Arabidopsis thaliana: one gene and its partner. The protein of the gene in region 1 interacts with the protein of each later gene in a biochemical or structural test. Each region holds a gene or a part of one and is shown on either strand. Other genes may lie near its edges.

The links.
Region 2: the proteins of CUL3B (region 1) and RUB1 form a complex in vitro, tested with the Arabidopsis thaliana proteins (one study listed by BioGRID).

What each region holds. Positions count from the first base shown.
Region 1 is NC_003070.9:26,194,859-26,212,242, reverse strand, and holds CUL3B (cullin 3B), read left to right. Parts: upstream 1-7,447; 5' UTR 7,448-7,689; intron 7,690-7,786; 5' UTR 7,787-7,800; coding exon 7,801-7,961; intron 7,962-8,036; coding exon 8,037-10,074; 3' UTR 10,075-10,257; downstream 10,258-17,384. Other genes in the region: AT1G69680 (ran guanine nucleotide release factor, putative (Mog1/PsbP/DUF1795-like photosystem II reaction center PsbP family protein)), read right to left, coding at 5,675-5,822, 5,981-6,057, 6,145-6,192, 6,272-6,358, 6,669-6,806, 6,906-6,941, 7,021-7,095; AT1G69660 (TRAF-like family protein), read left to right, coding at 11,640-11,727, 11,815-12,097, 12,199-12,365, 12,463-12,620; AT1G69650 (TRAF-like family protein), read left to right, coding at 13,422-13,593, 13,703-13,852, 13,933-13,985, 14,036-14,220, 14,305-14,471, 14,588-14,745; SBH1 (sphingoid base hydroxylase 1), read left to right, coding at 16,777-17,004. UniProt on the Arabidopsis thaliana protein: Component of the cullin-RING ubiquitin ligases (CRL), or CUL3-RBX1-BTB protein E3 ligase complexes which mediate the ubiquitination and subsequent proteasomal degradation of target proteins.
Region 2 is NC_003070.9:11,209,143-11,226,084, forward strand, and holds RUB1 (uncharacterized protein), read right to left. Parts: upstream 10,477-16,942; 5' UTR 10,276-10,476; coding exon 10,183-10,275; intron 9,779-10,182; coding exon 9,519-9,778; intron 9,052-9,518; coding exon 8,934-9,051; 3' UTR 8,553-8,933; downstream 1-8,552. Other genes in the region: LBD4 (LOB domain-containing protein 4), read left to right, coding at 3,965-4,141, 4,549-4,890; PSAF (photosystem I subunit F), read right to left, coding at 5,869-6,178, 6,442-6,797; AT1G31335 (uncharacterized protein), read right to left, coding at 7,975-8,187; KUF1 (KAR-UP F-box 1), read right to left, coding at 12,377-13,672. UniProt on the Arabidopsis thaliana protein: Ubiquitin exists either covalently attached to another protein, or free (unanchored).

The DNA of each region.
Region 1 (17,384 bases):
TCGATATAATCCCACTAAGAATTATCATTGTGGATTAGTGATCAATACGCTATACCTTTCTTTTCTTTTTGGGATCCACGTTACTACGTCAGCTCAAAGTTGAAACCCCCATATATTATAAGTAGTGTAGTGATTATATATATTTAACTATTATATATGTTTCGTTATGTGTCTCGTCTCGTTGGTACAGACAACTTAACATGCACATAATTATAAATACACGTTTTACATTACGAGAACCAACTACTATTTAATTTTGATTTTTGATGGTTAATTTTGGTTATGAAAATATTAAACGACGACAAGTAATTCACAGACATATGTATATGTAGAGAGAGAAATAAAGAGCATTGAAAGCCATGTATTGTCCATGTTGGATAGATAGGTAATGAAAGGAATAACATTGGCATGTATAACCCATGTGACAATAGTCCCCTATTTACAACTTATAATCAAACACAGTTTGGTCGAGAAATATCTAAACAAAGTTAGGTCAAAACGATTGAAATCAAAGTTCAAGTCCGGTGCCATAGTTATAAAAGGATGATTTACCATTATGGATCCATCGTAAATATAACAAAGAATAATTCTAAACAAAATTGAGGATCAACGATCAAAACCAAGCGTTGGACAAAAAAAAACTTGATCAGTCTAACTTTTCGTGTTAATCGACCAATCAAGTTTGGACGAGGTTCTTCAGAGAATATATATGATTGGTTAAGACTCTCCTATCTAGTTTATCGATAGACTTGAGCGGTCACTCTCCTTACCTTGATCGTCTCATATCGACCATTCAAGACTCACTTACTCTCCATTTTCATACTTTTGATCTTAGTTTATTTTGGATCTAATATGGTTTGGTTCCAATATGAATATAAGCAAAAGTTTTGAAGAAAACCTTAAGTTTTGATTTGACTTACTTATGGTGCTAGAAATAATTGCATAGAAGGAGACTAGGAGAGAGAGATAGGAAGAAACAACATAAAAGTTGTCCTCTCATGAACTGTCACTACGGCTAGCGACATAATCACGTTGCATCCGGAACCCTAGCATTCATCATTCATTGTTTGTGTTTGGACCCTATCTAATCTATTTCTATACATTTTTTTTCTTTTGATAGCATCTATATATAATCTATATTTATACATAATTCATGTCTGCACCTCTACATATATCCTTCTTCGTATCTATGTCTCTACTCCTTTTGTTTCTTTCTACAACTGTCTATCTACTTTTACATCTTATGTATCAATTTCACTTCCATTGGAACTATATTTTATTTTTTTCATCACTAGTAAGTACTAACTAGTATATGGTTATACTATTTCGATAACATGACATTAATTTTATTTATTAGTTTTAAAATTTATGTTTCTGACATATACGTGTATAATTAACTAATATGCATTAATTCTATACAAAAGTTTTAAGCGATATATTCATTTGCATTAATTCTATACAAAAATAAGACAGCTATATACGTGTACAAGCACATGTGCATGTACGTAAATGCATACAAAATGCATACGTACATGTAAAAAATTCCAAAAAACAAGACAGAAGAGTGATGCGTGTGTGTGTCTATGTATATATATATCTTCAATTTTCTTACTTGTACCTCATCTCTGATCTCCATGACCGTGTGATACTGATGTCTCACCTTCTCTCCCATATGTTATCTTCAAGTTTTAGTTTTTCTTTTTTCATCTCTCTTAAATTATTTAGATAGAGTAAAAACTACTTGGTTGGAATATTGGACGTTATTAAGGTTAGTTTTATATATCTATATACTGACTATATATACCCATATAAGATACTCGTATGATCTCTTATCATCTTTTCTTCTTTAAGGTCCAAAGGAATTGTTTTTATCTCTTGTTTTGAATTTCTTTAGAAATAATACTTCCTAATTATTAAGTACATGTTAAAACTGACAACATTATATTATTGGCATCGTTTTATAATTATTCCATGTCTTTTGATTTATAAATTTTGGATCCACGTTTAGTTTGCTTTAAAACTGTGACGTTCTCACTTCCAGAGCAATCGTTATTATTAGCTAGTAACAATGAATACAATTTGTAGTTTAGAAAAATACAGGTCGATGATTATTTCTTAGCTAGCATATAAAACATCTATGAGATTCCGACCAAGAAGTAATCATTACGATTCTATAAATTAGATTTGTTTCCGTTATCGATTTATGCTTTAAGTACGTAGGTTATCTGATCAGCAATAACATTCAAAGGAAAGATGACAACAATTTAGCCTTCGTAGGACAACACAACATGAGCACTTTACATAGCCTTTGTAATTTTTAGCCAATTTGACGTGGGTTTCGGACTCTTGATCGACATTAATCATCACCATGTAACAACAATATTATAAATTCACGATTAATACCATCATCTTTCTTTTGCTCTAGTACGATACTCTTCTTATGTGCTCCACATCGTTGGTAGGCTAAAGGTCAGAATAGTGACATCAAAACGGACAGTCACGCCAGCAAGCGGATCGGGCGAGACAAAGAAGAATATTGTTGCGAATATGACATACGAAATAGGTATAATTAAGCAAAGGGTGTGGAATAAAACAAAATTCTTCTGAGATTATATTAACTTAAGCATTGGAATTGTTCTTGAAATAGAAGTTGTATTGATTGATAAAACTAATTTATTAAATTCTTCATATTTAAAATATTTCAAATTAAAAAACCACACTCACACACATATACTTAAATGGCCCATGTACACAAAATATAAGTTTCGAAGAAAAAAAAAAAACGTCAACCATTCTTAGCACAAAAATTGTTGAATGGGTCATAAATATACGCACTTCATCCACTATGTTCTGAGTGCTCCATTGAAGGCCTAAATAGCTTCATATCTTTTAGACGTTGTAAAAAAAAGAAAAAAACTTCGTATGGACATAAGATTTGGGGAATCGTTATTATATATCATTAGGCATATCATATTCTATGATATATACGTGTATATAATTTCAGTTGCGTGATCTTTATTGTAATTATAGTAGATATAAACGATTAATGGTTAAAGTTTAATCAATAATTAGATAAACAATGTTAGATAATGGAAACTAAAGTGAGGAAAAAGACGAGGGCACTAACATGTAAATGCTGGAAGAGGAATATCATCGAACAAAAACAACAACAACACAGCTCAATCCTCAAAATACAAATATAAGTAACATTTTTTTGTGTGTGCATGTTTGCATCATATATACGTACATTTTTGCATATTGCGAATATCTCACACAAAAAGACAGAAGCATTTACTCTTATATAGCTGCTATTTTCCCTTACAAAATTATTATTACGAATTACTTCTGTAAAACCGCGGCAGTACTCTAGTTATAATATATTGTAATATGTCAAAAATATCACATCATATTTCTAGTAGTCCTCTTGGACCATTAATTACTAATTAGAACTATTTCATTCTCCACTAAAAATTTTTCTTCCGTACAAGCGAATATGTTACTAACATAGTGCTCTTGGCTTATGTGTTAGAACTTTACTAATATGGTGCTATTGGCTTAACATTCTTTAAATATATGTATTATGCTAAAACAAACATTATGTTGGTTCGTTTAATCTAGAACTATATTTTTTCTTAAAAAAATCTTGGCCTTGATCACATGTTTTTAATGCACTTTTGTTCCAATAATAATTTATATATAGTTTTGTTCTAAATGAAAGAGCATTCAATTGAGCTGAATTTAGAGAAACTCTAGGACTAGGACTAAATAATTTAGGGAAGAAAAAATATTCTATCAATATTTAAGGTTGTCTAACTTTTCTTCTTGTGGGAATTACCAGTTTTGCTTGGTTGTATGAGAAAAAATATATATATTACTTCATATGTAAAGGGGACAAGAGCTGCCAAAGGAGCGTTTTCTTCATTCGTTTTTGAATTATAAAAGTAAAATGAGAGAAATTTTTTTATTAAAAGTTTTATATTTCAGATCTGCACCCCAACAACATCTAGAGAATTACGAGAAATACCACATAGTGATTTTGAGGAACCATCAAGTTTCTTTCAGTCGTTTTCTCTCTCCATCTCTATTTGACCCGAGGGCTATACGTACCACTTATCATAATTTAGAATAATATTTTCTATAAATTGGTGGTCACACAAACCACGCAAAGCCTATCAACGTCCGTGTCGGCAAATATTCACAAAACTTCTTTTATCTCGACGTGTACCTCCATAAAAACACATTGTATGATCATACGTATTTGTAACTTTATAAGCCGAGTAAAATTATAAATAAATACGGTTGACACTTTTGTACATATATATATATCGAAAATCTTAAATGTACGTGAGACAAGTTTAGTGGAAACTGGAAAATAGATTCATGGCCGATTTTGGTGGGTGAGGCTGACAACGCCATATCACTCTCCGACGTCCGTATTCTCGTTTCCCAATCTCTATTAGGGCTGACGTCAGTCTGCTTCAAATCATTTCCATTCTCTTAATAGGAAGAAAAGACTCGGACAAGTTCTGTAGAATGCGTGTCTAAAAGTATATGTATCATTTTTTTCAAGGAAAAAAAAGAGATGTATATTGATGTATGTAAGAAAAGATAGAAAATTAAGACTCTGGTTTATGACCATTCGAGAGGAAAATGACCAGAGTCGGGGCATGACTGAGTATGCAAGCAAAGGATGCGATGGCCCATAGCCGAAATGGTAAAAGAAATCCATTTTTTTTTAATCTTCTGAACCAACTTCTTATAAAATCGAAACTAAAAGTTTTAAAATTAAAATTAAAATTGAATATTACATATGTGTATAGTTTTTGGTCATCGCAAAATCTTTAACAATATTAAAATACATGACTTCAAAACTTTTATCTAAATAGAAAGACAAAAAAATCAATTTATCAAGTTTATTAATTTATCGAGTATTAATTTTATAGACGTTTCATTCGGATGTTTATAGTCGATATTGTTGGTCTCAATAGAGTCAGAGGATTGAGATTCTCAAACTGCTCATGCATTCTTCTGCTAGAGAGAAGTCTCAGGACATTGCTATGGCGCATGAGTCTTTATGTTTTGTTGTGTGTACATCAGTTAATGCCATAAATCATATGTTTAAAAGACTTGTCAACAGCAACGGAAGCATTTGCCTCGACATTTTGAAAGAGCAATGGAGTCCTGCACTTACCATATCTAAGGGGAAATATATAAGCGAGAAGTTTGAAGAATTTGTAGCTACGTATTGTGGAAAAACTTCATGATCCAGCCACACTTGTTCTATATTATCTCCTAAACTGCATTCACTAAAATGTAACAGAAGATGATGCCATTGACTCCTACAACGCAAAATACAGGAAGCAAATGAAACAGGAGATGGAGTCATTGATTCCTACAATGGCAGGAAATGGGAAAGTGGAGAACGTTGCCTACCAACTAGCAAGACTCATTCACTTATTGAACAAATGAAACAGTGGATTGCAGTCTTGCAATTAAGATAAAGGCCAAATGGCATTTTACATAATGGAAATAAGATCATGTTGAGAAAGTTCCAACTACTAAACCTAACAGGACCAAAAGAATAACTACAAATCTTTAACAAAGCAAACTTCTTGCAGCCTTAGGTTACACCAAATTGGCAGGGGCTTGAATCGTCTTCTCATTTCGCATAGACTCAAGCTGAGGAACCGAAAAGATTCCAGTCATTGACTTTGAATGTAGAGAGTGATTGTTTAATGATATCACACATTGGCATTTTTCCAGATTGTGAAGCTGGGACAGCTAAACCAGATCCCACAGCATCCGCGCTTTCGCTCAGAGGACTGCACAATAATACGCAAACACCTTAGATGAAAAGACATGTGGTACAACAACAACAACAATAACCATATTTTGATATTCAAGTTCTGTATCAAAACGATGCATATCTATATTCAACTGCTTGCAATATAACTGAGTGACTCAACTTTGTGGGACTTACTTTATCAGGATAGGTTCATAGGCAGTCACTAAGACATCTGTATCAACTCCCTTAAGACGAATATTTGCCACATATACCTGCAGAATCATATAAACCAGTTGGTGTCTCAAGTAACAAACCCCTTTAGAATAAATAGAGAGACAGAACAAGGAGAAGCTTCATACTCTCACTAGGTTTTGTGCTTCTCTTCCCTGTCTTCCTTTGGATATAGCCTGTAATGATCCTTGTTAAGGAGAAAACAAATAGAAAGGAAAATTATGAGCAAAGACATCATATGTTTATGGACATTACCATCTCTCCAATAGCAGTTGTCGCAACAGCAGAGATGTTTCTGAAAGACAGTCCAGGCGCCTCAATGACCTCTGATTGCTCAATCAACTGAAAATTACACAGCAACATTACTAGATTGTCTTCTTCATATATATCATCAATCTTGGTAAAGATTAACCAAAAACACACCAGTATTAGTTCTATTTCGACTAGTTTCAGAGACTGAATCCACAATAACCAAAAAACAGCCTCACTAGTATCATCACAGGCAAAAAGGTTCCAACTTTGGGAAATCTATACACGTTAAACTCTATGTTTGTACTCAAGATACTAGATGTATTCTAGAGAAATAACAACACTAGTTCTTAAAGTTGGTTTGTCTACCATAAGAAGAGTTCTAGTGTAGTAGTGGTATTACCTGAAATCCTTCAGCATCTTGCTCACTCGCAAGATCATTAAGGAACCAAGAGGCACTGCCAATGTCACCAACCTCAGCCTTGAAATCCAACAACTCAAAAATCAAACTCTCATCTCTTGAAGGATCCACAAACACTTCCTGTGAAAACCAAACAATCAAACACAAATACAGAGTAAACTAGAGATTCTTCTACACATGTACTTACAAACAATGCCACTGAGAATAGAACCACCAAACCTGATGATCTGGAACTTGTCGGATATTACTCACATCCTGAAGATTCACAATAAGGAAGAAATGAGGAAACCAGTGAATTTCAATTAAGCAGCGAAAAGGGTTTTATTGAAAGAACCTGAAATCTTTGAGGGAAGACGGTGGAAATAGCGCCACCAAACAAAGGCCTCACCGAACATAACTCAACAGACATGTTTTGCTACATTCAAAAAACAAAATCCTCAAAAAACTAAACTTTGCCAGAAAAAAAAAATGCACTCACAAACATAACAGAATCGATTAGGGATTAAAGAGAAGAGAGAAGAGTACCAAATTGATCGATTGATGTATCTGGGGAAGTAAAAGAGAAGAACAAAAGTAGCAGAGAAATCAAAAAGTTGGAGTTTAGTATTTATATGAAAGTCAGAATCGAAAGAAGCGTTGCTTTGACGTCCCAACAAGTAGCTTTAACTTAACGCAAACAATTAAAAAAACAAACGATTAGCGTTCTTCAATCAACAATGTCTGCACTCTGCAAATTCACGATTGAGAAGAATGAGAATTACCAAGCGACATCGTTTAAATTAATACCGTAGTTTTTTTTAACAAAAGCCCAGGCCCATCTGTTTTATCTAGCCCATTTTAAACAAATAGAGATAATCAAAACCACTGGGATAATAATAAGATTTAATTTTTTTTCTTCCGCTATCATCATCAATCATCATCATCATCGTCTTCAAGACTTCAACCTTCAAATTCTTCATCACAAACCCTAACCTCCAATTTCTGATTCTACGATTGATCTAAGGTTTTAATCAATTCTTCTATCATCATGATTTATTCCTCGAATTTTTTCCGATTTTCCTTTGAACTGATTTTGTGGTCTCTCTTACTTTTTGGTTCAGTTTCATTTTCAACAATGAGTAATCAGAAGAAGAGAAATTTCCAGATTGAAGCGTTTAAGCAACGAGTCGTCGTTGATCCAAAATACGCCGATAAAACTTGGAAGATCCTTGAACATGCGATTCATGAGATTTACAATCACAACGCTAGTGGTCTCAGTTTCGAAGAGCTTTACAGGTACACTTCCATAGATTTCACTTTGATTCATCTCTTGTTGTTGTTGTTCTGCTAAACTTTGGTCGCTTATTTCAGAAACGCATACAACATGGTTCTACATAAGTATGGTGATAAGCTTTATACTGGACTTGTTACCACTATGACATTTCATCTCAAAGAGATATGTAAGTCTATTGAAGAAGCTCAAGGAGGAGCATTTTTAGAATTGCTTAATAGGAAATGGAATGATCATAACAAAGCGTTGCAAATGATTAGGGATATTCTCATGTATATGGATCGTACTTACGTTTCTACTACTAAGAAAACTCATGTTCATGAGCTTGGACTTCATCTCTGGAGAGATAATGTTGTGTATTCGAGTAAGATTCAGACTAGGCTATTGAATACGCTTCTTGATTTAGTTCATAAGGAACGGACTGGTGAAGTTATAGATAGGGTGTTGATGAGGAATGTGATTAAGATGTTTATGGATTTAGGTGAATCTGTTTATCAAGATGATTTTGAGAAGCCGTTTTTGGAAGCTTCTGCTGAGTTTTATAAGGTTGAGTCAATGGAGTTTATTGAGTCTTGTGATTGTGGTGAGTATTTGAAGAAAGCTGAGAAGCCTTTAGTGGAAGAAGTCGAAAGGGTTGTGAATTATTTGGATGCTAAGAGCGAAGCGAAGATTACTAGTGTGGTTGAAAGAGAGATGATTGCTAACCATGTGCAGAGACTAGTTCATATGGAGAATTCAGGTTTGGTTAATATGCTTTTGAATGATAAGTATGAGGATATGGGTAGAATGTATAGTTTGTTCCGTAGGGTTGCTAATGGTCTTGTAACGGTTAGAGATGTTATGACTTTGCATCTTAGGGAAATGGGAAAACAGTTGGTTACTGATCCAGAGAAATCAAAGGATCCGGTTGAATTTGTGCAGCGTCTATTGGATGAGCGGGATAAGTATGACAGAATTATCAACATGGCATTTAACAACGATAAGACGTTCCAGAATGCGCTAAATTCTTCGTTTGAGTATTTCGTCAACTTGAACACACGTTCTCCTGAGTTTATCTCCCTGTTTGTTGATGATAAGCTACGAAAAGGACTAAAAGGTGTGGGAGAGGAGGATGTCGATCTTATTCTTGATAAGGTGATGATGTTGTTTCGCTACTTACAGGAGAAAGACGTTTTTGAGAAATATTACAAACAGCATCTGGCGAAAAGGCTTTTATCTGGAAAAACTGTGTCGGATGATGCAGAGAGGAATCTGATAGTGAAACTGAAGACGGAATGTGGGTATCAATTCACTTCGAAACTTGAAGGTATGTTCACTGACATGAAGACCTCACACGACACGCTGCTAGGATTTTATAATAGCCATCCCGAGCTTTCAGAAGGACCTACACTTGTTGTTCAGGTTCTCACAACCGGTTCTTGGCCCACACAGCCAACCATACAATGTAACCTACCTGCAGAAGTTTCTGTTCTGTGTGAGAAGTTCAGGTCATATTACCTCGGGACTCACACCGGTAGGAGATTGTCTTGGCAAACGAATATGGGAACAGCAGATATCAAAGCAGTGTTTGGAAAGGGTCAGAAGCATGAACTAAACGTTTCGACTTTCCAAATGTGTGTCCTTATGTTGTTCAACAACTCTGATCGACTAAGCTACAAAGAGATCGAACAGGCAACTGAAATCCCCACCCCAGACCTAAAGCGTTGCTTGCAGTCAATGGCGTGTGTAAAAGGTAAAAACGTGCTAAGAAAAGAACCAATGAGCAAGGAGATAGCAGAGGAGGACTGGTTTGTTGTGAACGACAGGTTCGCAAGCAAGTTCTACAAAGTGAAGATAGGAACTGTGGTGGCACAAAAGGAGACAGAACCAGAGAAGCAAGAGACAAGACAGAGAGTAGAAGAAGACAGAAAACCTCAGATCGAAGCAGCCATCGTGAGGATAATGAAGTCTAGACGAGTGTTGGATCACAACAACATAATCGCAGAGGTCACCAAACAGTTGCAGACGCGGTTCTTGGCAAACCCAACAGAGATAAAGAAGAGAATTGAATCACTCATTGAGCGTGATTTCTTGGAGAGGGATAATACAGACCGGAAACTTTACCGCTATCTAGCGTAAAAAAGTCTGGATTGATTACACGGTCCCTCTGTTTATTTCGCATCGTTTCTTCTGTTAGTCAGCATTTCTTATTTGTTCTGTAGTCTGGTAAGTTATAAACATTTTGTTTCCGTTTTGAAAAGAAAATATTGATTTGCCTGTTATTGATCAAACCCATATACATCATCAAAGATATATAACCAGAGCGAGCATTTGCTTAACGGACTAATCTGTGCATCACACAGTTGCTTAACGGATATCTCCAACGTAGCTAAAAAGCTTGGTCTCTCTAATAATAACAATCTTCTCATACGAAAAGCTGCAGAATTTGGCCGTTTATGCGATGTCTAATTCGATTCTTCAATCATCGGAATCGTAAGATAACTCTTTACACTCAATCCAAAATGATACAATCTCCTTCCTTCTTCATTGAAATTGAATTTTTTTTGTATTGACTAATTGAATCACAGGGCGAGATTTGTAAAGCTGTTATATGTCCTGAAATCGCAGCATCTAGGTATAATGGAATGTTAAAGACTTATGTGTGCATTGATTTGGGTGATTGAAGTAGCTTAAGGTAGACAAGCTTAGGTTGATTGAAGTTTGTGGGACATCAGAATCTGAATTTCATTGTGTAAGTAGCACCAGTTTCTCTAACATGCAATTCAATCTTCAAAGTACTGATTTAGGACTGTGTGATCAAACAGGACTTGACCTCCATGATGGACCTTTGCTTTGACTTTTTTCGCGTATCAAAGGAAAAGAAAGATCTTAAGGAAACAAAAGGAAGTAAAAGTAAGGTTCTATCATTTGTGGTATACATATTGTTACAATGGCTCGATCCGGTGAACGATTATTAAAACAATAAGTGCTTATGTGCATAATTTTGTGTAGGTTTGGTTGATGTGGTACCCCAAAAGAAGAGGAGACTTGATGATACACATCTGATGATGAGGTACTTCTTTTGCTAGTTCTGAACAAATTGATCTGTTTCTAGATAGCTAGAACAAATTCTTCCAAAAGGGTGCATAGTGAATTCCCAAATCATTTATATGTGATCACCACTGGTTTAATACTAAATTTGATTGAGTTTCTGCAGCCTCATGTAACAAAAGACAAGAGAAGATAAATCAAGTACGAGGACTGTAAGTCTGCTATTGCTATATCAATCAAAGCTATCTAAGCCAGAGAACGGTGCTTATCCATTCCTTTCCACTCTCGCAAATCACATTATTAAACTTTAAAGAATCAACTTTTTATGTAGAAACAGTTGTATAAGCAAATCACAGGTTTTTCTTCTTTTTGGGAATCTTGGAGTTGGGGGTATTAATGTTTTTTCTTGAATACCCCCAACTCCAAGATTCTTCTATATATATTTACCAAAAAAAGAGATTATATATATATATATATACATTGTTTTTAGGGTTAGAAGACGTCATTGAGTAAAATGGGTTCATGCTCGGCAGCAGTTTCTAGAATTGTGGAGAACTGGAGAGAGCATCCTCCATCTTCTTATTCCCTCAAGATTCATAACTTCTCCCAACTTGAGAACTCAACTGCCTCCTCTGATCATAAATACCAGCTTGATGGAATCCACACCACCAACTGAGGCGTTTGCGGAACTCCGCTTCTATGTCTACAACAAGAAAGAAAACAAGTACTTTACTATTCAAGGTGCTGCACTACAAATCTCATGCTCTTTCTTTAAAATTTTACGTATAAATTCACATATTATTGAGTAAGCGATGTTTATATATTTAGATGTGGAAGTAAAGCGTTTCAATGCACTTAGAATGGTGTGGGGATTGCTAAAAGTTCTTTCATATGATACATTTACTAATCCTGAAAATGGATTCATCTTTGAGGGTGGTGAATGTGAGTTTGGTGTTGATGTCCTTGTTGCTCCACCCCTTACTAATTGGGAAATTCTCTCTTTTGATGAGAAACTCTCTCCTCCCAAATTCTCTTGGAATCTTAAGAATTTTTCTGAGTTGAAAGAGGATGTTTACACATCAAACAAATATCCCATGGGAGGAAAGGAATGGTGAGAAGTATAAATAATTTTGCTAAATTTTGTTTATGGACTAACAAGTATGTATACACATGTATTTGAATGTTAACAAGTCCATACTTAATGTTTTGTAGGGTTCTAAAGCTGTATCCAAAGGGAAACTCTAGAGCAGATGGCAAATATTTATCCCTATATGTGCATTTAGCTGATAGTGAAACACTAAAATCAGATGAGAAGAATTTCAAGCAAGGACATGTGCGAGTTCTTAACCCACTTGGATCTAATCACGTCGAAGTACAATGTATTTTCTAAAAAAATAAGTCTTCTTATATATACGGAGATATTCATTTGAAATTGTCTTTCTCACTAACCATGTTTTGCATTTTACTTTCTTGCAGCGAGCTGCTGGTACAAGGAATCAAGCAGGGGTTGGGGTTGGGATCACTTTCTGTCTATAGCTAATCTTCGGAAGACTTACTTGGACAAAGAAGATGCGTTGAATGTTGAAATCGAATTCAAAGTTGTTTCTGCAACCAAGTATTCTCCCATTATCTAACCTCTACTTTTTATTTTTAGAATATCAGTCATCTACCATTCTTCTACTATAGTACTACGACACAATGCTATATGTCCTGGACCAGTTTGTTATAATTTGAGTTCTCTAGTTTTCCATAAATTTGCTTTTATAAGAAAATATGTTATATATTTTGTTTGAGTTTTTACTAGAAGGACCTTTGTTGCTTCCATAATGATATACTCTAAACGTTTTGATTATACGTAAATAATCTCTTCTTTTATAATTTCTCCAGTTAAGCCACTCAAGTAGCACACTGTTTAATCTTTCAAACTGGACATGAATATTAGGAGAATTTTATACAATATTTGGCAACAGAATGCATTATTTGCCATCTACGAAGTAAACTTTTATATAATTAATAATGTAGTAATATTTTTATTCATGATCATAATTTTTTTCTCGCATGTTTTACGTTTTTTAATATTAAAGGTTAATATCACAAAATTTATGAAAATCTTCTTAGAGAAAAAATGGGTTATTTACAACTGATGAAATCTGGTGTAAAGTTATCTATAAAAGATATGTACTTTACCAACAAATTAAAAATCTTCTCCAAGAAATGAAATACTTATGCCAAATAATCTGATGCGTTTACAAGTATTTAGACGTAAATCTCTCTTTATTTTCCTCTCCCCCTATAAAATGTATTTTGTTTTTTTTGTTAAGCGATAATTTTTATAAAACCCTAATAGTTTATCTTGACACCCCAAGAATCCTATTTATACATTAATCAATCATAGTTTTAACTTTTAAGACTTGCATTGTGTTGGGTAGAATAAGATGGGTGCATCATGCTCAGCACCAGTTTCTTCTACTATCAAGAAAAACTGGAGAGATCATCCTCCTTCTTCTTATTCTCTCAAGATTCACAACTTCTCCCAACTTGAGAAAACTACTTCCTTCTCTGGTCATAAATACCAATCTCGTCTTTTCTCCTCTGGTGATATAACTGGTATGGATAATTGTATTTTCAGGGTTTAGCATTAATCATTATATCTTATATAGCCAATGCAATATGTTGTTTTAAAAAAAAAACAGGAGATTGATCATATATCCGAAAGGGAACGTAAAGGACAATGGAAGTGGATTTATTTCGATGTACGTGGAATTAGACAGCTCAAGCTTGATGGAATCCAAACCACCAACTGAAGTGTTTGCGGAACTCCGCTTCTTTGTCTACAACAAGAAACAAAACAAGTACTTTACTAAAGGTGAAGTATACATCTCATGCTTCTCTTTCTATAAATTCACATTTAAAATCAGTAATGGATGTATCTTATATATCTTTCAGATGTTGAAATAAAGCGGTTCGATGCACTTAAAATGGTGTGGGGATTGCCAAAAGTTTTTCCATATGAAACATTCATTAACCGCAAAATGGATACCTATTCGAGGGTAATGAATGTGAGTTTGGTGTTGATGTCATTGTTGCTCCACCTCTTACCAATTGGGAAATCCTCTCTTTTCATGATGAGAAACTCTCTTATCCCAAGGTCACTTGGAGTGTTAAGAACTTTTCTCAGTGGAAAGAAAATGAGTGTTCCAAACCAAACAGATTTTCAATAGGAGGAAGGGAATGGTGAGTATCTATATAAAAATCGTTAACAAAAATGTATCTCTATAGACATGTGTGTATGAATGTTCGTAATTTTATCTTTTGTAGGGTTCTAAAGCTGTTTCCGAAGGGCAACTCTAGAGCAAAAGGCAAATATTTATCCGTGTTTCTTTATTTAGCTGATAATGAAACACTAAAACCAGATGAGAAGATTTTCACGCAAGTAGTTGTGCGAATTCTAAACCCGCTTGGATCCAATCACGTGGCAAGCCGATGTAATTACTAAAAGACAGTTGCATTATTATCTTATTACTTTTTATAATCTTTCGATATACAAACTGAGATATTAATTACTCTCATTATAACTGTTTCACATTTTTTGTTCTTGCAGTGAACTACTGGCACAAGGGATCAAACTTTGGTTACGGTTGGTGTAAATTTCTTTCCTTAGATAAAATTCGGAAGACTTACTTGGACAAAGAAGACACGTTGATGATTGAGGCCGAATTTGAAGTTGTTTCCGCGACCAAATTCTCTACCATTATCTAAACTCTTTTTTGTTTTGTTTACTTATTAATTTACTTCTACATGAGTAGAATAGGAACCAGTAGATTACTAAGACACAATGCTATGTCTTGGACCAGTTTTTTTTTTTTTTTCATTCATGTTCTCAGCTGGTTTTCTATTAATTCTATTTTATAGGGGAATTGGCAAAACTAACCAACAAAAAATTTATAATTAAGGAACTAACATCAAAAAAAAAAAAATGATATCCTCTATATTTTGTATATTAATTCCAAGTTTACCCCTCTATCTATTTCTCTCATCTTTCTTTATGTGTACCTCTATCTTCCGTTCTCTCTCCTTTCTCTCTTTCTCTCTCTCCCCCTCTCTCTTTCTCTCTCTTTCTTTTTCCCTCCCCCTCTCTCTTTCTCCCCAGTAAAGTCCTTACACCTACATTGTTACTTGTTTTTGTTTTCAAATCAGAGTCTCTTAATTACTTTTGGGTGAGATTTGATTTGGGGGTTTCGAATTACAGAGGGAGGAACACAATTTGGATTCAGGGAATCGACTTTCGTTGTTGCGCTTGGTGTCTTGGTGATGAAATTGAGTTTTGTTGTTGCAATTTGAGAGATACTATTCTATTTGTAAATATACTATTTACGTATACTTTGTTTTATATACGTTTTAAAATGAATTATTTGTTTTGATTAAGGATGTTAAGTGATTTAATTATTGGTTTAGATTTAAACCCTTGGGTTCCCTATATATTATCCCTTAGGGTTTAATATCTTTCCATAAAAAAATATTGTGTATCTATATAGAACGTTATGTTATTCATTGACAACACTATTCACATCTAAATTATTTTGTGTCTGTTTTAAAAAATTTAAGTCATGATATATGTAGAAAACTATACAACTTTTAATTGATATATCATGAACTTGAATTAATTTTTTAAAGATTAGATAATATGAATTATAATTGGGAAGGGGTAAAGAAAAAAGAAAGAGAAAAAGGAACTTCTCTCCTACCACCTGATTTCTTTTCTCACCTCAACACTAATAATAAAGCCACGTCACCTCACACTAAACATTTTCCTTCCTCGCTGACAAACGTAACATCAGGACAGTGATGTCTTTTCACACCCCTTGAAGGTTATTTATTACATTTACAAATTTATGGTGTTAGTTAGTTAATTATTTAGTAAAAAAATGCTATATCTGCAAATCACCCTATTTTATAAGAGACAAAAAAAAAAACTGATTTTCCATAATCTCCCAATCTATTTTCCAATGTTTATTGACAATGGTTTTATTTCCTATATCGAAAATGAGTTTCTTGAAAAGGTTTTATCTAAAAATTTCTCATAATATCTAGTTATCTATCATTCTTAACCATTTATCTCTCATGGTTAAGAATCTCTTCTATTTTATAGAAACATAAAATATAAGAGATTGCCTTCATTCAATTAGTATTATCGGTAGTAAAACTTCGGATACTGATTTTTTTTTTGATTAATTCATTAATTATGAGAGCTAGTAAAGATGAATTTTATACATTCGTCACATATGTTTAAACTTATACGGCGTCGTTTCAAAGACGACATGAAACTAAAACGAGGAACAAAACAACCAATCACGCCATCGCTAACAGTAATAATAATCAAACACGGTAAGTACGAGATTCTTCTTAGCGAATCAACCGTTAAAAATCACATCAAAAGTATATACGATCGAGATTCCGCCACGTAGATAACTCACTGTAGATCTAACCACACTGGATAATTAGATATTTTTTTCTTTTTTCTTTTCAATGAGTACAGTTCAGCCACGTCTGTCTCTCAGACCAAAACGCAAGTATCGTCCTTTGTTTTGTTTCTTTCTTCATCGTTGATTTGTCAACTCAACAACGCCCAAACCCTAAAACAATCCCCAATCATCGTTTCAATAATCAAATTTCCCCAATTGAAGAATAAAGATCAAAACTTTGGAAGTTTTCCTGTGAAAATAATCTATCCTTTTTGCATCATTTGCGTTTTGGTTGATGAAGAGGATCTGAAGAAGCTGAGATTTAGGAATGATGATGGGTTTTGCTGTATCGGATGAATTGTTGGGTACTGTTGCTCCGATTGTGGTGTACTGGTTGTATTCTGGGATTTATGTAGCGCTCTCCTCTTTAGAGAGTTATAGATTGCATTCAAAGGTTGAAGAAGAAGAGAAGAATCTTGTATCGAAATCTTCTGTTGTGAAAGGTGTTCTTGTTCAACAGGTTGTTCAAGCTGTTGTCGCTATCCTTTTGTTCACGGTACCGTTTTTCTCTTTTCCCATTTTTGAGTTGTTTTGCTTTTGTGAAATTGAAGTGAAAAGTTAGGTAAAACATATTGGGGAATTTTGATATCTGACGCTGACTTTTTATGTGTGGAATTGGATGGTTAAGATTTTTGTTTTTAAAAAGGTTAACTTTTTGGGTTGATGTTGTCTTTCGACCCATAAAGAGAAATGGGTTATGTATTAATGATCTTAAAGTTGGATCATATATTGACTGTTCTAACAATAGTTAAGAGCTTTAGAGGAAAGTATCAATAGGGATTGTTCTGTGATTTGGCAATAGGGTTTAGACTTGGCAGACCTTATTAGGCTGCTCTAGAATTCAACCAAGGACTCTATCTTAGGCTCCGTTGGTCC
Region 2 (16,942 bases), about 15 Mb from region 1:
GATTGTTGTAGAGAGATGTTGGGAGAGAAAAAAAAATAAGACGGTTGGATTTGTTTTTTATTTATTTATAAATTCACATATATTAATCATAATTTAATTTCTTTTTATTATTTTTATTTCAACGTTCCTATTATTTGACCGCTTGTTATCAATCATAACCATAATTTTACAGCTCATTTTAATTTATTCACCTTCTCTTCTGCTTGCTCTAACAATTTTGTTCAACAACTGCTAAAAAAACTGTTAACTATATTTGTGAACGATGTTATCAATGGAACCCTCAGTCGTTTGGGTTGAGGAAATTAGAAAGTAACATTATTAAGTCAGGGAGAGGTTACAAAAAGAAGGGACAATAATAGGTAATCAATAGGGTTGTTGCATTCTTAATTTGACAAATTAACTACCACTGATTTTTATAATTACAACAAGAGTTGACCAATTGTAATAATAACACTCATGATGTAATGACAAAATTATATATTGCATGAGTAGTTTGTACATTATATTTCGTAAAAATGACTAATTCAAGGACCCCATATAATGATATATATACTCTACTTCTTAAGTAAAGTTACCCAAGTTTTGTTCCAAAAAAAAACGTATAGTTACCTAAGTATGACTATTAGAAGGGGGCTATTTAATTTAAGGATTGTCAAGAAATATTAAAAACTTTTCAAACAAGTGTTTTTTTATAATGTTAATTTATCCTCTTTACCTTTTAATTCAAATGTTGTTTTATATATAACTTAAATTTTGTTTGCTAACAAGTATAGCTTTAGGTTTTCAATATAGATTTTTGATAAAACTATCGTTTTAATGTATGAATAATGAAAAAAAAATAAATATAATAATAACTTAATAAGGGGTAAAATCCAAAGTTTGTTTTAGAAAGAAAAAAAAATATGTGAAAATTTTAAATGACACTTACTGTGGAACAGGTGGAGTATTACTCTTTAATTAACCACATTTTAGGTTATATTTTCCTAGACAAAGAATCCATAGGGATAAGGAGTGAATCCTGAACAAAACCCAATTGAGCCCAATGAATAAAAAAGACATCCAAAGTAGGTTTGAAGGAAAGGATAGTCCATGCTCCCTCCATGTAGAGTGAGTGATGGTAAGTAAATGTGTCTTATGAAGCTATCGACACCAAGTTGGAGATAAACAAAATTGAAAAGCCAATGTACGTATGATGTTGATTCAGGATTAAAAATTTATAATATGGTTATAAAGTAACATATATCGTGGATTTGAAATCTGAAAAAGTCACGTACTGTATGTTGAATATGTAAGGTGTGTTAATTGTAAATCATTATATAATAACAGGTTCAAAGAAAACGAGTAGCCACCTGCCGATGCAAATTTTTTTTTGCCAATTACAGACAAATCAAAGATTTGGGATTGGAGAGGAGAAGATCTATTGAAACCGACACATTAGGTCCAAAACATTTCATTTTAATTATTATGATTTAACGAAATAGTAAAATACATATATCAACCTTTTTGGTCCGGTCCCTGTTCTTACGTCTGTGATCATAAAGTATAGAGTGATTTTTTATTTTTTTTCATTATACAAATTACAAATGACTAATTTAATTAATTAGTGAACTTTTAATTTGTCGATAACCAATAAGAATGATGGAAAACGGCAAAAGAGTCGACTGTTGAAGTTTGTCGGAAAGACACTCCACCAAAATATAAATACAAATCTTATCACTAGTGGAAACTGTCGAGTGTGTGTAGTTCTCTTTTCCTTCTAATAAAAGAATATTATCTTTCTAAATTCTTCCAAATTCATTTTGGAATTTTCTTTCCTTTTTCTTTTTGTTGACATGAAATTTTGGAGTCTTCTTCTATCGCCAATTACGACTAAAAAAACGATTTTATATATATCAACATAGCTCTAACAAGAACATGATAATCGCAAATATACATAGATTTGCCTATTTGTACACAAGCAAAGTTAGTTTTAATACTCAGTATATTACATCTCATGAAAAGAATTTACAGTTTTTTCTATTAAAGCTGTGGGAGTTTTCTTCTAAAATGTTTTTTTTTGTCGTCCTTGTAAAATGTTCTACATTCGTCATTTTCAGGCTATCTTTGATTTCGAAAGCTGTGGGCGTTTTCTTTTTTTAATTTTTTTAATTTTTTTTTTTTTTTGTCTTTTTCTACGAAAATAAAATAGCGTGCACTGTATTGTTTCTTTCAACTTTATTTTTTGACTAGTGAAAGACTAGACATTTTGTTGCCCTGCCCCTATATTTTTTGTGTTTATTTTAAGGTTGTTTTTTCTCTTTTTATAATGACCGTAAAATGAGTTTTTACAAAATCTGCTTCAAATATGTAATGAAAACCTTGATAATATGTAAATGTACTAAAAACAAAATCTTGATATGGGTACATGTGAAAATAGTATATTTCTGTTCTAAGAATATACTGTTTTATGTTCTAAAATATCAACAAATAGATATCTTTGCATTTTTTTTTATACATCAATATTAGTATTACCTACATTGTCTAAGAGATGTAACCCAACTTATGTCGCAACTAGAACTACATCTCAGAAATCACCGAGCCGAGAGAAAATTGTAAGAGTCCTCGACCAGCAAAACGTAGGAACATCAACTCAAAGCAGTCGAGAATAAGAACCACTGACTTGCATCAAAACAGAAGATCTAACCACACCACACAGAATCCGAAAAGAAGACATCCACCATCGTTTAAACTTTCAACCCTTGACCCAACCACCGGTGATAAAGACTTGTCCATTATAGTTTACTAAAGTTTATGATCAAACTTAAAATATCTGTTGTTAGATTGATACCTCTAATTCCTTTGAATTGCTTCTTAGATTTCCACTTTACCCTTCCACGATTTTTAAGCAATGGAAAATTAAGTTTCATTTGTTTCAGATTTTAATATTAATCCCCTTCTATGCAAATTGAGGGACCACGTAGAAAGTTGTGAGAATCTCAATACACAAAAGATATAGAAACAATGATTACATGCACAAGCACGAGGCCATAAATTTCCTTATCCTATACACATTTTCAATAAAGATGTAACATTCCAAACAGAAAACCCTCTTGTAGCTCACTCTACAAAAAAAAGAGTATAGAATTCCAATATTAAAGTTTATAGGTCGACTATTTCAAAACCAATTGCTATAAAGTAAATTGATTAATATTTTTATACTCTCTTCGATTTATAATATAAGTTGTTTTGGACCAATTTTTTTGTTTTACAATTAAATTGTTTTTAAGTTTTTATGCAAACTATATATTTATTTTAATATTTTATAATTATTTATATTATGCAGTCTCTTTTGTGATTGGTTGAACTTTTTAAAAGTAAATATTCTTAATCTTCGTACTTTTAGGTAAAACAACTTATATTGTGAAACGGAGGGAGTATATCATTTACAATTTCTCTTTATTTAGTTTTGTGGTGATTCCGAATATTAATTACAACTTGTACCATTTAATTCAACCATATTCGAAGAAAACATTAAAGGCAAAACAAATTAAGGGGAAAAAGAAATCAAAAGTTAAAAAAAAAAATTAAGACCAATGAGAATAGATAAGGGGTAAAAGACAAAAAGAGAATATAAAAAAAACAAATAGCATTTGGCGCCAAAAGTAAAACTAAAATGGTCATGTCACGTGATGTTAATTTTTGCTCTACGACCAAAGCAAAACAAACCTAAAGTTTTCCAAATCTCTGGGTCCCACTCTCAGATGTGCTGACTTTTATTTTTTTTACTTTTGTCTTAAATCTTTGGAAATTTTCAGTTTTAATTTAATTTAATTCATCTCTCTTTCTCACTCTATAAATCCCCACAGATCCGTCACACTTCACCTAGAGACCCTCCCACAGCTTTCTCGATAACTGACAATCCAACGGTTGAGATTCAGTTCTTCTAGATAAATTCACATATCCAAAGGACACGTGGCGGCGAGAGATGAAAGAAAGTAGCCGGAAGCAAGGAGCTGCGTCACCGTGTGCTGCGTGTAAGCTTTTGCGGCGGCGGTGCGCTCAAGATTGCGTTTTCTCGCCGTATTTTCCGGCCGATGAGCCTCAGAAATTTGCTAATGTTCATAGAGTGTTCGGTGCTAGCAACGTCAACAAGATGCTTCAGGTTTCTTTCTTCTTGTTCTTCTTAAGAATATCTAAAACGTGCTTACTCATATGTTGGGTTAGGTTTAATTAGGATGATTTTCTTGTTTCTTATTTTAGATGAGACATTACTATCATTTCCATAACTTTTTATTGACAACTACCACATGGGCCGACCCGTTTATATTATAAGTTTAGGGATTTAAAAACAAAATTGTTGAATTTTAAGAATTTAGGAATATGTTACATTTATTAGCTGATGTTGAATTTTAACCATATTAACTTTTGTTAGCTAATGTTAATGATATGATTTACATTTCTTAGCTAGCTGATGTAGAGTCTACATTTGAGATGGATTATATAAATTTTATATAGTCTTGCGAGATTAATTGGTCTAGTGGCTGACAAAATGTTTTAAAAACTCAACAGGAATTACCAATCCACCAGCGAGGGGACGCTGTGAGCAGCATGGTTTACGAGGCTAATGCAAGAGTGCGGGATCCGGTTTACGGTTGCGTTGGGGCAATTTCGTCCCTCCAGCAACAGATAGATGTGTTGCAAGCTCAGCTAGCTCTAGCTCAAGCTGAGGTGGTGCATCTACGTGTACGCCAGTCGACTAATTTCCCAGGGCACGGACTATGCCCGGATAGTCCGAGTAGCAGCGGGTCACCGTCTTCGAAGCAAGTGAGTCCACAGGACAACAAGGGCATGTTTAGCCATATGGACATTGTGGATGAAGCCAGTTTGGGAGAGTCTATGTGGTCTTGCTAGTCAATAATGCTCTCTTTCTGCTACTGCAATTTCCTCTTCCTTTTTTGGGAAATTTCGGGATTATTATATATTAAATTTAGGGGTAGGATATGAAAATGCTCTGTTTTGACTACAGAGTGAAATTATTAACATGATATAGATACATAAAAATACTAAATATATTTATATATTATAAATCTCTCTCTATATATTTATTAGTATTTGTAACTTTGTAATTCCGGGGTATTTGGGATTTGGTGTATGTGTAGGACCTTTGGATCATGATCCGGTAGGGTTATTTTGATCATTTCCAACCGAGGAGGGATCTTTGTTATTGACCTAATGTAAATTTGTGAGATATATTATTTATCTATATCTATATACAATTATGATCATGTAACCCATGGTGTGTGCTTGACTCTGTGAGCATATTATCGTGTAATGGTCATCTTTGATACTAGCTAAGTCTAGCTTAGCAATTAGCACTAAGCACTTGTATGGGCCTGAATTTTTATTATGCAAACTTATGGCCCATTTGTCTTTATTTTTTGGTTTCCTTGCAAACATTTGCCATTTGATAGTCGCTGATAGAATCGCTCGCATATGAAGGAAACAGAAAGACCGGACCGGAGCATGTGCTTGTGGTAAGAAATTTACAGTGAGCTTAAGAAGAAACACAAGTAATTTAGTCTATTATAGTTCAAGAGCTTCTCCTGCATTCATGCAAATGCAAGAGTGGTAAAATAGCATTATACTAAGTAAATTTGGTTATGCTCCTGTGCGTTATATCAGGATATTCCCTTCAAGCAATTGAGCTTCACATAGCAATCACTAGACCGCAAAATCACAATCTGTCAATCACCATTTTAGCCATAATTCTTTCTACTTGCGCAATCCAAATTTTATAAGGTTTTCGACAATGCATTGTTTTTCAATAAGTACAATGGAAAACAAAGAGATTAGAGAGAGTAACACAAAAGCAGAAAACAAGTTCCCTTTTTAAACATCCTTAGCAATGAGATCACCATTGAGAAACTCTCTGTAGGCAGCAACGGGCCAAATGAAACCACGGAAGATGATCCGACTAGCCAAAGGAACATCGATGATGATCTCTTTCATCGCGGGTTTCTTCTCACCACTAATAGCTATTAAGTAGCTTCTTCCAACCCACCCGATCCATCCAGCAATGTAGAGGAAAAGAATCCCTGGAGTAATGAACTCTCCCCAATGCCGCTGGTCTCCGTTCACTATCAAGTGCGGTAAACCGTCTGACCCGCATAACAATCCGTACTTCCCGTAGTTGTCGAACCTAACATACATTCATAAGCACATCAACTTCAAACCAATCCACAGTTCCACAAGCTCCTCAATAGATCATATCAATGATCAAATTTAACATGTCTAGCAACTTCGAAAACTCACTAACTCACCAAAAAAATCATACTAAAGCAATGGATCTAGCAAGTAATTCACTAAAACAGAGAAAAACTCTGTTTCAGAACAGAGGAAAGCTCTGTTTCAGAACAGAGAAAAAGCTCTGGTTTAACGAAGAAATAGAAATGGAAGACGAACCTGCGTTTGGTTTTCTCGATCTGAGCATTGAGAGCAAGAGCAGGGGCAGATTCAGGAGCGTAGAGCTTAAGAGAAGATTCAAGCTTCTTGATCTGTTGCTTCTCTCTTTTAGCGAACTGTTTTGAGTCCTTGCAAGGAGTCAAACCTGAGATATCAGCGACAGCTGGCATAGGAGCAGAGAGGAGGATGGAAGAGAGGGCGACGGCGGCGGAGAAAGCTTTCATGGATTGAGGTGTGGAGGAGGAGGATTTGTCATCGGAGCAGACGAATCTTGCGGAGGATTTAGGTACGGATTGAGTGAGAGATTTGTTAGATCTCGGGTTGAGAACGAGATTCGCCGGGATAGTGAGCGACATGGCGCTTTGTCGGGTTCTTTGGAGATTTCGAATTCTAGGGTTCTGGAGTTTTGGGTGAAGTGTGGAGAGAAGACTTATGGGAGGAGCTTTAGATTCTTGAGGGGATTAGTGGAGGGAGAGGAAGATAAGAGAAGTGGTCTTGGGGTGATGAGGTGGCGTGTTGTGATTGGTTGATAAGTAACATGTCACTGGATAAGAGATTTTGCCGCGGATTTTAATAGTTTTGTCATTTTGATGTTCAAGATATGTGGACTACACACGACTTATCTTTTATTTATTTTTAATATCTATACATATTATATATACACTGAAAATAATCATATATATATATATATGTAGCAAAAAAAAAAAGAGATGTAGTTTTTTAGTCCTGATTAGTTTTTTTTTTGGCAAATAGTCCTGATTAGTAAGACTGCAAAATTGAGTCTTTTATTGGTTAACCACATAATAAGAAAATGGGATCATGAGTTTGCAATATCAAAGAATTAAATCTATATATGACCAAAATAAACATTAGCAGAATTACAACTCCTTCTACCATTCCGCCGGAAGGAGGCTACATTTTTTGTAATGTTTGTTTGAAATGCTTCACAGATATCTTCTGATAAGATCTCTTGATCTGTCTCTGAAGTCTCAACACCTTAATTAGGGTTTCATCTCTTAAGATATGCTTTTCTTTAAAGTTTTACCATTTTTTCAATGTATTAACTGTCTATTTCCTGGCAGAAGAAACAAATTTCTTCACATTTACCCATATATATATTGTTTATAGCAAAAATATTTCGTCTTTTTTTTTTTGGTCTAATTATATCCGAGAGGAGAATTTGGTTGTGTTACCACATCATACTTTGAAGTTTGAACTCGTTGAATTAATAACACGCAGTTCTGATATATATTATTCTTTTGTGAAAGAAGTTCTGATATATTTCTAGATGTTTTTTTTCCTTTTTTTTCTTTTCTAGATGTTTCTTATAGAATAATCAATGTGTAAACCATTACTAGCTTTCTTATTTACATCAAAGAGATAGGAAAATACACAAATAAAGAAGGAAATTCATCCCAAGAAAACTAAAGACAATCAAAAGATTACAAGTTACAACAATTCACAATAAGTCAAACAAAAGCATCTTCCAATAGAGACAAGCAAGACAGACAAAGAAGAGAAAATGAAGGAAAATCAGACGTTGTGAGAATTGTCGGGCTTGGCGTGTGGAGACAACGGCGGAGAGGAGGCGGCGATAGCACCGGGAGGCGGAGCTGGAGCTCCATACACCTGAGGATTTGTACGGATCTCACGACGGCCGCGAGATTTTCCGAGGAAGTAGCAGCCAAATCCGAGAAGTAGACAGAAGAAAATTAGAGGCAGAGATATGACCACAACCAAACCCATCGATCTTGACTCTTGAGATCTATGTTCAATCTTCTTTCTGATTGATTTTTATTCTTGGACTCTTGTTCTTGCTTTGATTCTACTTCACATGTATTTATATGTATGAGTTTGTGGGAGGCTCTGGAAGGATCCGATTCTGTCCGCAACGTTTATGTCTTGTAAAGCTTTAAAGCTTAACGTTTAAATCTCAACGGTCATCTTTTTTTTTGGTCGGCCCATCCATACGATTTCTTCTAGTTTTTATAATCACATTAGTCATGTCTCATGTGCTTTTCTGGCTATGAAAGTATAGAGAATCAAACTCAAGTTGACAAGTTAAGTTACTTAGAAAATTAAAGTAAAAATTGTTAAATGTGATGGACACTCATTGGATTTGACGATTTGTAACCACTATTTCATTGTAATGCAAATAAATATGGGACTATTGATGGACTCATGCAACCAGCAATCTCAATCGGCCTGGTCCGATCTTACACATAGCTCGATCCTATTTTCACATGTCTAGCCTCTTTCTTGAATGAAAGATATTCATCATAAATAGCTAAATCCCAAATAAATATGTTAAAGTACGATTCGATGTTAAACAAAACAAAATGATTCGATATTTAACAGATTATTGGTAAAATGATCCAAACCCAGTGAAACAGCATAATATTCAAAGTATCATATCCAAATTGCAATCACTTTTTTCCCATGAACTCCAACAAGCCATACAAAGAGAAAAAGATATCTTCAAGAGTTACTTCTCAGAGAAGACCAAAACCACCCCTAAGGGCAAGAACCAGATGAAGAACAGAGCCTCCCTCTATGTTGTAGTCCTTTGCCGTTTTGTCATCAGCTAGCTGTTTTCCGGCGTAGATTAGCCTGCAAACATCCATGAGATATATAAGCATCCTAGAAATACTAATGAGAATCACTGTTATATGAGACAGCATAGATTATCAGCTTGCACGCAGAGTAGAATCGTTTGATGCCAAAAGCATAAGTAAACACACTCGAAAGGAGCTGCAATTTTCTCAAGAGGGAAGCAGCCAGTCACTAAAACATGAAAATCAAGTCAATGAACCGCAACTTATACAATCAAGTAAAAGAGCTGAGCTGAAAGGAGCTGCAATTTTCACAAGAGGGGCAAGTCACTAAAACATGAAACTCAAGTCAATAAACTGCAACCTATCTTATACAATCAGTTTTGACTCAACCACACAAACAACTCTAAGAGAGCTGAGACAGATATCACAAAGAGTTAATATAGTTCAAGACTCAATGTTCCCAAGGCAAAAACTTTGCGACTCAATTCTTCTGAAGTAACTGGAAAAAAAGAAGTTATTTACCTTTGTTGAACAGGAGGGATACCTTCTTTCTCCTCAACACGTTCCTTAATCCGATCAATAGTATCGGTTGGTTCGATATCAATCTCAATTTCCTTCCCTGTGAGAGTCTTCACCTTAATCATAGTCCCACCCCTAAGCCTCAATACCAAGTGAAGAGTCGATTCTTTCTGAATGTTGTAATCCGCTAATGTTCTACCATCTTCAAGCTGCTTACCAGCAAATATCAACCTCTGTTGATCAGGTGGTATTCCCTCTTTGTCCTGTTTTCATCAAATCCCATCCATTCATAAACCAATTAGAAGAAGACCAAATCAAAAGATCATTAACAATAATCTTAATCCAATCTTCTTAAACTCAGAAACAATTAACCATTCTCAAGCAATTCACATACCTTCAAGTGTACCATAAAACATAAACAAATACGAAATTAAGCAAACACATGAAGGATTAAGAGAGCCTTTGTGCTTACTGTTACACAGAAATCTAAAGAAATCTTAACATCGATCGCTAGATAATCGGGGAAAGAAAACCTAAAAATCAATCAAACAAAGCAAACCAATCTGTGTCTCCAACAATCAAACAAATTCATAGTGCAAAACCCTAGAATCCTAAGAAAAGCACGAGGAGGTGGAATTGGGAGACGGAGAAAGAGAGAAAGAGAAACCTGAATTTTGGCTTTGACATTGTCGATGGTGTCGCTGCTTTCGACCTCTAGGGTTATGGTTTTTCCGGTGAGGGTTTTGACGAAGATCTGCATTTTTTTTTTCCTTTCTTCGCTGAAATGGTGTTTATGAATATTATTACGGACGGGAAAAGTATTATATATATACAAATAAAATTTGGGATATAGTTTTGAGGATTTTGGAATAAAAATACTTTTTGAAAGATTTGGAATAAATCCTTTGATAGAATTCGTAATTAGCTTTTGGGCTACGCTATTATTTCTTCTCCATTTCTTATATAATTTTACTAACAATTTTAAAAATTATCTTTAAATCAAATATATTAATGTGGCTTTAAATATATTGAGATTTTTTTGTTTGTTTGTTATTTTAGGATATTTAACTTTTAAAAACAAAAATTAAAAGAGTTTTTAGATTTTGTACTAAAATTAGTTTTCTTAGATTTTAAGAAAATATGGGGACATTGAATTTTTTTTTTAGTTTTAGAACCAAAAACGAAAACAACAAATTGTTGACATTCAATTTTGTTGGAATCTAGAGCTTAGTGCAAAACCCACTAGTCTCTACATACTATGGACCATGTTGTGGCAGTGAGTGGTTTGACGCGAAACCTCTTAAATACTATGGTCAAAGAGATCAAGCTATGTTCAATTTTAGACGGTGATAAACCTGAAAGGTCAAATGGAAGAATCTTAAAAGCTCGACAACATTTCATTGGACTTGAATGGGTTGTCTCTCTAGCTAGCGTTTTGTTATTATAAACGCAGACTCATCGTGAAAGAATTCACCCTTTCATGTAGGTATTGGAGACGCTTCACGCTTGTTTGGACCATATGTGTATCCCAATGGCATCATACCAAAATTAAAGACATCTCTCTAACCGTTTTCTTCTCAACCACTAAAAAGCCTTTTCACCATCTTTATTCAAACTTGTTCACATATAGAACCCATGTGATTTTAAAAGTATGAACCATATGATAGATTACAAGATGGTCCACATTGACGTGAAGAGCTCATATAAAAGATGGCCTTTATTTCTTGTCAATTTATCACAAAGAGGTCTCTCATTAAGCCCAATGGATCGGATAATTTTAAATCCAACCCAATAGATCACTTTTCTCAATTCTCTATTCTAAGGTTTTTAAGCTTTGGTTTCTACATATAAATTCAATTAATTTTCTGCTGATTTTTTATTTTCACTGACATATGTTAGCTTTCTGAAAGTTGGTTTCAGTCAATTGAAAATTGAAATCAGTTATTCAACACCACAATAAAGATGCAACGAAAAAACAAAAACAAGTTACACATAGCTAACGCCTTACAATGCATGAGAGGACTTTATAAAATAGGTGATTCTTATCCATATTTTTGTATGTCTACATCTTGAGTTGTTGAATAAACGTGGTTTGTTCTGGTTTACTCCAAGTTGGTGAGTCTCTTAACATTATAGCATCACCGATGGCTTTTGGTCAGTTTTGGTATGCTTAATCAATCTCCATAAAATAGAACAGATAATAGGTAAATGAACCATTATAAATCTCATCAAACTTAAATATTAACTTAAAATCAAATGATAAAATGAATCGACTCCCCAATGTATATATGAATAAAAGGTTTAAATGCATGTAGCGGACGAAATTCGCTAAACGATTAGCGAATTAGATTATTATATTTTTGGGATAGATAACAATCTATTGTATACCAAATTTATTTCTATGTACAAACGGATCATAGTTAGTCCGCATCAGATTTGTTATATTTTTTGACATGTACTACTATAAATTATACTAGAGGTTCACTCCATAAACGGATTCGTCCACTCCAACTATCGTAACCATTCGTATCCAAAATTTTATTTTATTTGATATGTGAAATTTCTAATAATTGTACGTTGATTCATAAAGGAGAGAGAGATATTCCATATTTCCACAACCAAACAGATTTTTATTTTTAACTACGAGTTGAATAAAAATTATATAAAGTTGTATACCATAAATTAAGATTAAAAAATTCTGACGTGTATTGTCTTTTCATTTGCAGTGCAGGTATTAAAAAATAACGACAAGATGACACTTTTCCACCAGAAAAACGGGAAAACAGAAAATAAAAAAAGTTCCGTATACTAAAGGAAAAGAATAATAATAATAATAATAATAATATCACAAAAAAAATACGTCAGCAAAAATTCGGTTGACTCATTCTTGGTAAAACATGAACCGAAACCGGTTCAAGTCCATCAGGAATCTCAACATTCCAAATCTTCGCCGGCTCCGCCGCAACATCCACCACAACAATTTTCCCATCACCAGTAACAACACAAAGTTTACCGGAATCCGCCGTTACTTGCGTAGCTCCTTTAAGCATCTCTTCTCCACCTTCAACCACAACCACTTCTCTCCACTCTCTCTTCTCATCATCGTACTTTCTCACTGTCCCTCTCCTCTCATCCACCGAATAAAGAATCTCCTCCTCCATCGCCGCAACCGGGCCTCTCCATCCAACCAACATCTCCTCCGGCATAGGTTCCCAATCATCTTTAACGACGTCGTATATAGCTCCTTCTTTAACCGCGTCTCCTTTAACATTTACCATTAAAAGCTTTCTTCTATATCCAACAGCGTCTATAGCTTCTCGACTAAACCGTAAATCTCTCATATCTCTCAATTTCTCCCAATTAAACCGGTGGTTATTCCGGTTTTGTTCGGTTAGATCTAATTTCTCGACAGATTTCGCGACGGTTGATGAGAACTGAGAACTAATTCCGCTTGCGATGTAGATAGCTCCGTCGCAAGCTCCGGTGGCGCACCACCGTCTTGGAGATCCGATTCGAGGACCGGAGCTCCAGGATGACGAAATTGGATCGAAAATTAACGGGTGAGAGATCGCCGGAGAGAGTTGTTGGTTACTTCCGGCGATGAGAATGAGTTTTCCGGCGGCGGAGACGCATTGAATCGGTAAATTAAAGGAGATAAACGACGGATGACGGTAAAGAATCCGGTGAAGAGGCGGGTCAGGTGGTGGAGGAGGAAGCGGATACCATTTTGAAGAAACCGGGTTGAAACACATAAACCGGACTGACGGGTTGACCCGACCCGTATCCGATGTTGAATCGACGAAAAGAGCGTAGAGTGACGGAAACGAAGGAAATTCCGGCGAGTAAAGAAGACGGCGCCACCGTGTACACACGGCGGAGAGTAACGACGGACGGTGAACGAGAGACAGACAGATCTCTGAGATGTGATCGGGAAGTCCTTCGATTAAAGCGGAGTTTTCATTTCCGGTGACTGTTCTTCTTCGTTTCGCCGGCGGTGATTCTGCGGCGGTGGTTGACATTGATTCACGCCGTTTCAGTTTTTTTTCCATCTCTCTCTTTTTTTGTTTTTGTTTTTTTTTGGAGTTATTAAAGAGAGATAAAGGAGGCGTGAAGTGTAATGAATGAGAGGGAAAAGTAAGTAAAGGCGTAGGAGCCATACATATATCAAAATCGAAAAGGCCAAAGTTGGAAAGTGTTACCATCTCTATCATAAATACGTAAAGCTAACTTATAAAATTAAAATTATACATTTATAGCATCACATATGATTATAGTATTCAAGTGGCTATAGAGAATTTTATCAGTAAAATAATATTAGTTATATTTGATTATCTTATACAGTATTTTAGTTTCAGAAGCCTATCAAGTATCAACCATTAAACAAAGACGTGAAGACTAGAGATTTTTAGTAAGAATTGTGGTTGGTTTCCATCGAGATCAATTTTTAATATCGAAAAAGAACCGGTGAACAGAAATAAAATTTATTTTGTAAAAACTTAGTTTTGTTGGCTTAAGCTTTTAAAATATGTGACTTCATCCTATTTAAAATATACTCATGAAAAAAACAAGAATTAACTATATTAGGGTTACTTTAGCCTTTTTGCGGATGAGATAAAAAAAAAAAAGCAGAGAAAAATCACCATAATAATTATTATTTTTTAACTCTATCACCATAATTTTTTAATTAAAAAGAATTCTCATAAACATAAAAAATAGATGAAAGAAAAAAAGAAGAAGCTGACAAGTAAGTAAAGGGTAAAGGGGAGAACCTAATCTTCTAATTATAAAATTCTATTGGCATTTAGTCATTATTAACTTATTTCCATTTTCTTCATTGTCAATTTGTCATACAATGCAAATCTATATTATAATTATATGTTATTTTCTACATTTCTATATGAATAAATTTACAAAGTTTCCACTTTCATCTTTGTGCTAGTGTGTATAATCCATATTAATATTATGTGCGCATCTTATTGGATAATATTTTTGTTGATTCATTGATAATTATGATAAGGTCCAAAATCTCCCTTTTTAGAGCAACTTCTATTATTATTTTTTATTTTTCTGGAAGGAAAAAAAAAAGTGACAGAGACATCCGTTTGGTGTGTGATCCAGATCCAGCCTTCTTTTCCCAATCTTCTCAATAATGGATATGCGTTGGATTTTAACGTACATCAATCGTTTCTTTCTCCTGAACGATCAAGTTAGTTTGATGTGTGGTGCACTGCTGCTAAATATTAATTATTCGATGTGTTTATAATCTCTGTCTAACTGTTCATTGTTCAAGTCTTCCTTTTATATAAGTCATTGAATTATAACATAAATTACTATAATTTTTTTAAAAGAAAACTATCCAAACTAAGGCAAGAAGTTATTCAATCTACAATTTTATGTACTTGTGGGTTTAGCTCGAACACTTTAATATAGTATCCCGATTGCTTAAAGATCTTTACAGTTCAATATCTAGTGTGTGGCAGTATAAGAAAATAACTTCAACTAGTAGAATAGTTTAAGAATTGAAAAAGAATACCATGTAACAATTTTATGTTTATGCATAAACTTGAATAAATAAATTTGCATCGCATATGATACGGTTCATTAAAGATATTGGTATAGCATTTTTTCATAGACCTTTTGACGTTTAAATTATAATGTTTTTGAAAGAGGTTAAATGATTCATCATCTTAGAGGTGGAAATAAATAATGTTATGTTTTTTTTAAAAGTGCATTAAGAAAACTCTCCCTTTAGAAATATAGACGAGTTTAGAAGTTTTGCTTGAGAAAAACAAAGGATTGATTTCATTTTAGTTGAATTGGCCTATGATGTTAGTAAAGTGGATTTGTGGTGGCGGCCACCGGGCACGTGATAATCCACGTGGTTTGCGTGAATAATCCGGCGAGAGAACTTTTCAATACTTATATTATAATTTAAGTTTTTTTTTTCCTTTTTATGAAGATTTAAATTTTGTGCTTATAAATAAATAACTTATAAGTTTCACTTTCGGTGCATTTGTCTCTTCTAGTTAGAGGCTAACTTTTGGTAAGACTTGCAAAAAAGTAAACTACTTTTTCAGCTTAAACTCAAACTCAAGAACAAAGAATTTATCTCATTTTAGATTAATGTATATGTTTACCAAATGAGTTTAACACTGAAATAATTATTTTTATTTTTCAATGATAGTAAATTACATGTTCTATCGATTGGAATTTCATTTTGCCATTTATGTTTTAGTTTGAGCTGTAGTTATCAAATGAGTTAACTGATTAAATGATCATAAATGGAGAAAAAGAAAGAAAGAATGTGAGTATATGACTTTTCAAAACGTGATATTGATCACTCGTCAGAAATGTATACTACGTGAAAAAGGGGTTGTGTAATAGTTTTACAATTATATATATATATATATATATATATATATATATAGGTTTAGCTCTTAAGTCTTTCAAGGCTTAGAAACTTCTTTTGGAAAACTTATCTTCAAAACGGATGTGCCTTTCTTATTGCTAAGAGTGTTACTAATGACTGTAGACTACAATCGTATGTTGCGAGTGGTCATCCTTCTTGGCTTGAAGGGGTACTCTTCGCAGAAGAAAGGGTTTGTCCTCTGCTTGAATTTGAGTTTTTGGGTTGTATGGTTCCGGGTGTGGAGTGTGTTCTTTTGTAATGGCCCTTCTTTTGGTAGTAAGAGGCTTAGTGTATAGGCTTGATGATTGTTGAGTTGTTGTTCTCACTTTCAGATGTGTGACCTCTTGGGGTTTATGATGTGAAGTTCAACCCTTCTATTAATATAATTCCAGATGACAAAAAAAATATAGGTGGGAGGCGTCATAACTATATACGAGTGATATTGACTAAACTTGAAAAATACCTTGAACTTTGTCAAAAGAAAAATCTTGATTATTTGATTTTATTATGTATGATATAGGAAAACACACGTATATACACATAACACATGTAATAATCACATTCACATATAGTTATCTATATATATGAATACGAGAGAGCCAGAGAGGGCTCTGGTTGTTCTTTTCTCGAGCGGTGCTTTTGCAAAGGAACCAAGTTGGGTTCATTAAGCTTTGTGAAAACGTTTCGAGTTTTGTTTTCGATTTTCATAAGCTTGCCTTGATCATACCCCTGACTATTGTTAGATCATCTAACATCTATAGTTTCAAGAGGTGCGTGTCACTTTCCACATCGACACTTATTGTCAATTCGATAAGGTCTACCACTTTCTTTTTACTTGTGGGTTTGACCCCTAGTTATACATCACTAGTTAAATCGTATATCTAGCAAATGAGTATAACCTTCAAAAGTTAATCCTCTTATTTCGCGATCCTGCTTTTCGAGATGGGAAGTTGAGACTGATAACTAATGTTTTCATAACATTTTGAGTGACAAATATATATATTTTTTTTCTTTAATC